Oryzias latipes: one gene and its partner. Each later gene encodes a partner of the first gene's protein in a complex. Links are inferred from orthologs where the notes say so. Each region holds a gene or a part of one and is shown in the gene's direction. Other genes may lie near its edges.

Region 1 (4,047 bases):
TATTTCCTGTCCGCACTTATGTTTGGCTAACTATTTGTTTGTCTAACTATCTTCATTAATTATGACTGGTACATTTTTTCTTTTCTTTAATTTCTGTGAGGATTTTTATGAGTAAATGTGGATTTCCAAACATTCACTGTGAATATCTGAAATGGAGAACCTTAAATTTAACGCCCATTCATTGTCACACACCTAAATGACCACTAGAGGCTGGTTTCAGAATGAGGCAATTTCCCACTGACTCTCACATCTAAAAGTCGGACTTTAAAGCAAAATTTTATATTTCTATTGATTTATTTTTGTTCACCACAGGTGTGGAATATGTGGAGGTGTGTGTTTTTTTTTTGATTGGCAGGTAGTTGGACTTAGCAAAACTCCAACATTCTGAGCAAACTGTGGGTCTTTTTTAGTTGCAATTCGGATTCAGATTATCCCAAGCGGAGTTTTGTTATCCATTACTGTTCACTCAAAAATCCAACACTTCAGATTTCAAAAGTCAGTTATTAGATGAAACAAGAAAAAGAATACCTTTTTTCATCACTTCAGCAACAAAATAAATAATCCATCTGTCCGTCTGTCCATCCATTTTCTTTATCAGCGATATAAACGGGGCCTGTTCACCTGCTGTTGGTTCTGATAAATTATTTAACACTTAAAGGTCTTTTTTTTCAGCTCTGCTCAATTTTTTCCTTTGGCTTTTAAACAGATGACTGATTATTTTCAGCTAAAGCTCCTGAAGGTGGAATTCACCACAGATATTTATTTTTTCTTATCTTAAATAAATTTTGGAGGAAAACGAAGGTGTTAATATTTTTTATTTATTTAATAATTTTTATATATTGTAAAAATGATAGATTCAAGATTTATATGTATATTATAATACATAATTTAAAAACATTATACTATTTTTTATTACAAATATTGATGACATAATTGTTTATCAGATTTCATTAATTGCCTGGAACAAAAATAATATTATTTGTTTTAACCCTTGTGCTATCTTAGATGACCCCACCCTTACTTTGACGTGTTCTCCCTACCATGACAAAGGTGGATAAAGGTGGAAAGATTTCATGTAATTTATGGACACCAGTGAAGATCACAAATCATTGAAGAAAAAAGATTCAGCGCACTGTTTAGTCGGTCTAGATGACCCAGCTCCCAATGTTAAAATGCCTAGGATAGCACAAGGGTTAACGAAGCAAGGGGTGAGGGTTCTAATGGCACACGGCCCCGCCGAAGGGCGCCACTGTGCTTCTGCATGAAACAACCTGCATCACGTGACGAAGGCCGCAGCGGCTTCACGAGAACCGGAAGTAGAAGTTGAGTTGTTGTTGCAACACAGCTGCTGTCATGTGATAGCCTGTCTGAAAAGCTGCTGTGCTGCAGTAGCTTCCTGCTTCTTGATGTTGTTAAAGTAAAAGTCCACAGGAGAGGAATTTTATGTTTGTTGGAGACGGAGCGCGCGGCTCGTATCTGAAGGAGAACAGGGAAGCCGCGCATTGCTAGTTTGGCTCCTCAGACGCCGCCGCCATGGGTTGCTGTTACAGCAACGAGGACGAGAACACAAGTCAGGTAGTTAGCCGCTAGCTAACCACAACCCGATAACTGTACGGTGCTCGGTTCTGCCTTGTTTACCGTGGTATTTACTTTTTTTTAAAATTGATATTTAAATATAAAGAGGAAAACCTGCCCATGTAACTTCTAGTTTTGTGTCAGATATTTCTGTAACATCTAAAGCAATGTAGCTAACTCTAATGCAGGCCTAGCCCGGAGCTGATTTAGTAGCTTAAGTAAAGTAAACAAGTTGTATATCTGTTAATGTAAACATCTGGATTTCTTGTTAAAGTTTAGTGGTTTATATATACGAAATATTTACTTATCAAACAAATTCACGTCCTGCAGTTTGTTACGTAGATTATGTTCGTGCTGTTTAATCATGGGTTAGAAATCAATTGTGAGCTGTAGGCTGTACAGAATACATAACTAGACTTTTCCGTATTGTGTCTTGAAGAGTTCAGTGTCACATGATCATGCAGACTCCAAGCTATTTTAGTATAAGGAAACAAGTGTGACGTTCCTTTGTTACTGTAAATATGCCATCATAGTTGTAGTAAAATAACTGTTTAGCCCTCTATTTTTATTATTTTTGCAAAGCACATTAAACCAAACACGTAAATTGTTCTGTTAAAAGCATAGTGAAATTTAAAGTATAATTGATTTAGTTTAAACATTTCTCTATAATAAAACACACATTAGGTTTAATTAACATTATTTTTATTGATTTGTGTAAGGTCTGGTAGCATAACATGTACAAGTGGATGAAGGGTTTTTGTATTCGTATTTAAAGAATTAAAAGTTGAGATGAACTGTTTTCCGGTTAAGTGAAAAAGTTTCTTAAAATATTTAAAATGAAATGGTACTGGATAACCTAACACATGAAAAATAAATATCATAACAGACTTATTGTTCAGCACTAGCAAAGGTTGCAGAGATTTCTCTTAGTTGAAGAGTTTGTAATATGTTCACTTATTAAAAGTAAAAATGAGTAACTTGCTGCACACATGTCATCTACAGTCTTTTGTCCTGGTAAAATGGCATGCTTTCATTGTTGCAACTACTTCAGAAAACAGTTTTAAGACAGTATTTGTGACATTTTCATTCAGAAGTGTGTATAAATTGTCTGAATAGATGCTCTGCTACTTTTGCAAGGACCCTGATGAGATTAAGCCCCTTATCCCCCACCCAAACCCCATTAGCAAGCCTCCAAATGGGACAGACTGGATCAATCCTAGCGTCCCATCAGCGCGGACGGATGAGCAGGCCATTCTCACATCCATCCTGGTCAAGACAGCACAGTAAGGCACTTTTTATGTTTGGATAGGTCCAGAATGGGACTTTTGACACTATAGTCTCAAACGCAAGTAATGAAAATCTCTTTGTTGTGTTTGAGGAACATCATTGATGTCTCAGCAGCTGACTCTGTTGTTATGGAGCAGCATGAATACATGGACAAAGCCAAGCAATACAGGTATGTCTTTGAAGACTACTTATTCGTTACCAACTGAACTTTTGGCATGTGTAAGCCAATAATTTAAATTTATATTAAATTTGTAAACTGCAAGCCTCTGTATTGTAATTGGTTGAACAACTTTTATTCTGCAATATTTTGTATACATGGTTCGGATTTAGCAAAAAAAACAGTTTTATTCGTGGAATCTAAAGCAATTGAGGATGATGAGGTCTTTGTATCCTGAGGAAGTTGTGAAGGAGGTAATTTAACCACAAAATTGCTGCAGTGCTGGTGCTTCCCTATAAAAGCTGTTTAGACAAAACAGCTGTCAAGCTGTAAAAGGCAACCGCCGGTTATAGTGCAAAACTGTGCAGTCTGGTCGGACACAAGCGAGACCATTTGGGTTAATTTTTTTTGAAGCTGAACTTGTGTTTTTTTTTATGGTTCCAGTACAAAGTTGACTGCAGTGAGCACCAGCCTACCACAGAAGAAAGCACTAGCCCTCCCCTCACTCACTACCCAGCCCCACCAAGTGCTTGCAAGTGATCTGGTGTCATATTCAGATATTCAGCAGGTAACCACACTGACACGCACTTTAATCCATGTCCTTGAATCCATGTCCTGTTTGTCCTGCCTTGTTTTATGCTGTAAAACCAGGTGATTTGTTTAAAAAACAAAACAAAGACCCTATAAAAAAGTTGAGGTTTATCTTGGTTGTGTTTTGAAAATAAAAACAGAGTATTTTGAAATATTGTTGCATCAACCCATTTCTTCATCTAAACATTCAGAATTCTCCCCCTTAAAAATGTACAAATGGACAAAAAAAAGAAAACAAGTGATATTAATTACTAGACTCTCAGTTGAAATCGCATGTTACTTTCTGCTGAAGTATTAATATTAATTTTTTTTTTCATTATTATGATCAGTGCTTTATATTTTAAAATATTCTATTAGAAGTCTGTAATAGCGTTCTGATCATGCAGATTTTCAAAATCAAATGACTCAGAATCGGATTGGGGGCAAAAAAAAACCTC
Region 2 (4,242 bases), on another chromosome or scaffold:
TTTGACAATTGGAAGATGAACGTTTGAAGATTTAGTTCACGTCTCACCTGTTCTGAAGAACATGATCAGAAACCTTCTCCTGCCTGAGCTGCAGTGCCTGGAATGTCCTGGAAACAAAGGACCCTGGAGGTGACGACACCCACCTGAGCAATCCACACAGAAAGAAACAACCGATCTGGAGGAGGCAGCTCTGCTGAAAAAAGAACTAATGACTTTTATTGGGCAAATGTTACTGATGGATGGACTGACGACGGGCTTTCAGCAGGGACAGCAAGACAGTATAATAATCTATAATAAGGGATGTTACAATACCGGACAAATAAATCAATATATTGTATCTGATTGGAGACCAAATACTAATATTTTCTTGTAGGTGGCAGTAGCTGCGAAATATTTTAGCTGTGTTTAGAATAAGTTTAAAAGAAATTTCCAATTCAAAATAATTGGAAAATAAAGTTTTAGTCAACTTTATTGAAATATGTTGCCAGCACATTTCGATCAGTTGTAAGTAATGTTAGAATCTTCACTTAGTCCAGAACTATGATGGAGGTTCTAATATATTTTCTATCTACATTTTTCCCAGTCAAAAGAAGACAAAAAACATTAGACTTGGTTTGACCATGGATGAACCATGACGTCTGACCACCAGCAGGGGGAGCAGAGAGCACACGGCAGTTTAAAACAGCGAAGAAGAAGCGTCACGTGACAGCGAAGAAGAAGCGTCACGTGACTGCAGCTCTTTGGAAATTCACGGTGGTAGCATCAGCTGATTGTTTGTTTAAACGTTCAGAGGACCGAGCTCACTGTGGAAACGCTCCGGACGGGCTCGTCGTGTTTTGGATTCGGAGCCGGCGGTTCTCCTGACTTCCTGTGACGGAACCGGCTTGGGTCCTCGGAGCTGCCATGGCGGACGTGAGTCTGTCTGTCCTCCTTTAGCACCTCCTGTTCTGTTAGGCTTCACTAAAAACTCTTTAGTTTTTGGGAAGATGCTCAAAGTTCACTATTCTCTTCTAATTACAAAAACACACAGTATCATGTGGGATGGTTTGTAGGTGATAAATTATTTCATTTGGCATTTAATATTGTATTAATGTTTCATTCACAACAGCAAATTCTTAAAAAAAAATCAAACCATTACTTAATAAATTTTAGAGAGAGATATGTTTTTTTTAATCACTAAAGTTTATTAAAACAAAAGTGCAAAACAGATAAGCTGTGTAACAACCCTTAGTTTTATATTACATTTGTATTAGACTACAGTCCTAATTTTCATCTTTATTTCTTTCTGTTCTATACATGTGGATATGTTGTGTTAAAAACAGACGCTCTACAGAGGTCACGTGACATTTTTCCATTAACTGTTTATGAGAACTAGACTGGGTGACTCCTCCCCCTGGCTGTCCAAACAGGAAGTACCTGTTGGCTCCAAGAAGCCAGAATCCCATAGACTTCTTTGGAGAAATTAACAGCGGTTACTCGGTCACTATTGTCAGTAATGCTGGGTGAAAATGGTGGTGGGGAGACCAGGATCTTCTCTGACGGTTTGAAGCTCTAAAGCTCACAGACGTCCACGTTCTTGACTGTTTCTGAGGTTGCTCCTTAACTCTTTATGCTCCCGTCTGCAGGATCTGAAGAGGTTCCTGTACAAACAGATGCAGAGGTGAGGCTTTTGTCCCTTATTGTTATTGCACAAAGTGATTTACTTTAACTATATAACAAGAAAAAAAAATCTGTATTATAAATCAAATCTCTTTTCTCAAAAAAGAGTTTTTGTATCTTATATCACATGTAAATAGTAGTTTTCTGTGTCCTCAGTGTTGACGGGCTTCACGCTATCGTGGTGACGGACCGAGACGGCGTCCCGGTAATCAAAGGTGAGACTTCTTCTGTTTCGGGTTTTCTGTTCCAATAAACTGTGTTTTAATAACTTATTAGAAATACTTTTGGCCTCAGGGCCAACCTGCTACTCAACAGGAACGCTTTATCCTCAGCCTCAGCAGCTTCTTGTTGTGGCAGTAGTTTCATGGTTTGGGGTGACTCAGCTCTGGCTCCACTCGTACGAGTTTAGGTTAGAAGTCACCAAAGTAGAGCAGAAAATGGATCTAAAAGACTCATTCATCTGCATTTTAGGGGTCAAACTGTTGGGGATTTTTCTGACTTTTTTTTCTGGCCCTGGTCTTTGAACGCACCGCTCACCAGCAGGAAGTCCTCATCCTAACACGCCTGCTTGTTTTCCTCCAGTTGCCAACGACAGCGTTCCGGTGCACGCGCTCAGACCGGGCTTCCTGTCCACGTTCGCTCTGGCCACGGATCAGGGGAGCAAGCTGGGCCTCTCCAAGAACAAGAGCATCATCTGCTACTACAACACCTACCAGGTGACCCCTCCCAGCATCACCGCGTGGGGGCGTGGCAGCCGGAACACCGGCGCCTTTCACCCGCGCTCGCTTCATCCGGTTCCTGCCAGTTTGTGTCCGGTCCGGGTCAGATCCAGAACCAGACTCTAGTCTCCATCGTCTCTTATAGTAACAAACTTCCTGTTTGTAAACTTTTGGGGGTGGGATTAAGAGAATAGCCTCACATAAAAGCAGAGTGAGACGGACTGAAATGAGATGATCCATGGGAGTCGGATCACAACAGAAGCACTAGAGCAGGTTCTGTAAATGTCAGAGGGTTCTGAGAGTAAAGAAGAACTTCTGCTGGGACAGAGAGGAGAAAAGTCTGCAAACGTTATCCTCTGATGGAGCAGACAAAACGTCCAGCAGAGGAAAATCTCAGAATCTGTTGGTCTTCTTTTGTTTTTCATGATTTGTTAAGCCAGCTGAACTTTTTCCTGAGTTTTTTTAAGAAAAATCAGAGAAGTGAAAATATTTGGGTTTTTTTTATTGCTAAGTAAAAAAAAAAACCAAATCACTCTGATGGATTCCTTCTGCTCTGAACCAGCCTAACCCGGCCAATCTCCATGGTAACCAGACTCTGCTCTGGTTCTGCCTTTGTGACCCGTCTGCTGTCTCTGCTCGACAGATCATGCAGTTTAACCGCCTGCCGCTGGTCGTCAGCTTCATCGCCAGCAGCAGCGCCAACACAGGTGAGATGAGGAGGCGTGTCTGAGGAGCCCCGCCCACTGGTTATCTGCAGTCTGTTTGATGTTCTCTGAACAGAGCGTGTCTTAAAATGATCTCAGTCTTCATCTCCGTGCACCCCGCTGTTCGTGTGTAGCTTATTGCTGCATCGTGGGGAAGGAGAAATATCGCCATGGAAACGCAAAAACTTTTACCTGAGGCCTTTTCATCATCCAAATGAAAGAAAGCAGAGAAAGTGACTCAGCATCATCGTCCAAAATATGTTGCAATGTGGTAATACTGGCATTTAAAATACGGCTCAAGAGCCAAGAAGTTGAAGTTTATCTGAGAAAAAACCCGACATTTCAGATCATTTAGTCTGACGGGAATCTCCAGGAATGTTCTGGATTATATTTAGTGAAAAGAAGAAAAAAAGTTCTTGTCAAACCCCTTCTGACAAAAGATGAATCCTGTGAGTCTGACCCATCCTGCAGACTCAGGTGGGAGGGGCCTAATCAAAACCTAGAGTGAGCCCTCCCCCCCTGGCGTTCCAAACAGGAAGTACCTAATCCTACAGAGAAATAGACAGCTGTTACTCAGTCTTTTGATCCGAGTAAGTATTCTTACTCGGATACATTTTTTTTATGATCGTCATATTTTTCTGTGGTTCAAGTTATAAACTGACCAATCAGATAAGAGTATCCATTCGACAGATTTCATGTCTTTTAAGTGGTGGTAGGGGTGTGGAGTTCCAACAAGCTCACTCCTGATTGGTGAGAGTGGTTGCCATAGAAACATGGACTCAGATTGACTTATCGCTGCTTATATATCCTGAAAAAATGGCGAGTGAATTGACTTCATGTGGTTGGAGCTGGAGGTAAACCATTTTCTCTGTGTGATGTCACATTCAGTCCAGTGCTCATATGCAGTCAGGGGATTCTCCAGATAAACCTGATCCTGACCAGGGTAGGGTCAGATTGTTTCCATAGCAACAGACTCCAGTTAGGAGCCATCCAGCTTTGTGAAAATGAATCCATCTGGTTTTTCACACGAGTGGGAGGCGTTTTGTAAAAACCCTCCTTTTCTGTCCTCAGGCCTCATCATGACTCTGGAGAAGGAGCTGGCTCCTCTGATGGAGGAGCTGAGGCAGGTGGTGGAGGTCACATAAAGTCCCATGATGCTT

What was found.
Region 2: lamtor1 (region 1) and lamtor3 share a complex: the UniProt entries of both Homo sapiens proteins name them as parts of the ragulator complex. The link is inferred for Oryzias latipes from reciprocal best matches to the Homo sapiens genes LAMTOR1 and LAMTOR3.

Annotation. Positions count from the first base shown.
Region 1 is NC_019871.2:21,798,437-21,802,483, reverse strand, and holds the start of lamtor1 (ragulator complex protein LAMTOR1), read left to right. Parts: upstream 1-1,247; 5' UTR 1,248-1,533; coding exon 1,534-1,575; intron 1,576-2,712; coding exon 2,713-2,858; intron 2,859-2,953; coding exon 2,954-3,031; intron 3,032-3,463; coding exon 3,464-3,587; intron 3,588-4,047. UniProt on the Homo sapiens protein: Key component of the Ragulator complex, a multiprotein complex involved in amino acid sensing and activation of mTORC1, a signaling complex promoting cell growth in response to growth factors, energy levels, and amino acids.
Region 2 is NC_019880.2:24,349,292-24,353,533, forward strand, and holds the start of lamtor3 (ragulator complex protein LAMTOR3), read left to right. Parts: upstream 1-1,442; 5' UTR 1,443-1,508; coding exon 1,509-1,541; intron 1,542-1,625; coding exon 1,626-1,660; intron 1,661-1,815; coding exon 1,816-1,874; intron 1,875-2,241; coding exon 2,242-2,375; intron 2,376-3,021; coding exon 3,022-3,085; intron 3,086-4,153; coding exon 4,154-4,227; 3' UTR 4,228-4,242. UniProt on the Homo sapiens protein: As part of the Ragulator complex it is involved in amino acid sensing and activation of mTORC1, a signaling complex promoting cell growth in response to growth factors, energy levels, and amino acids.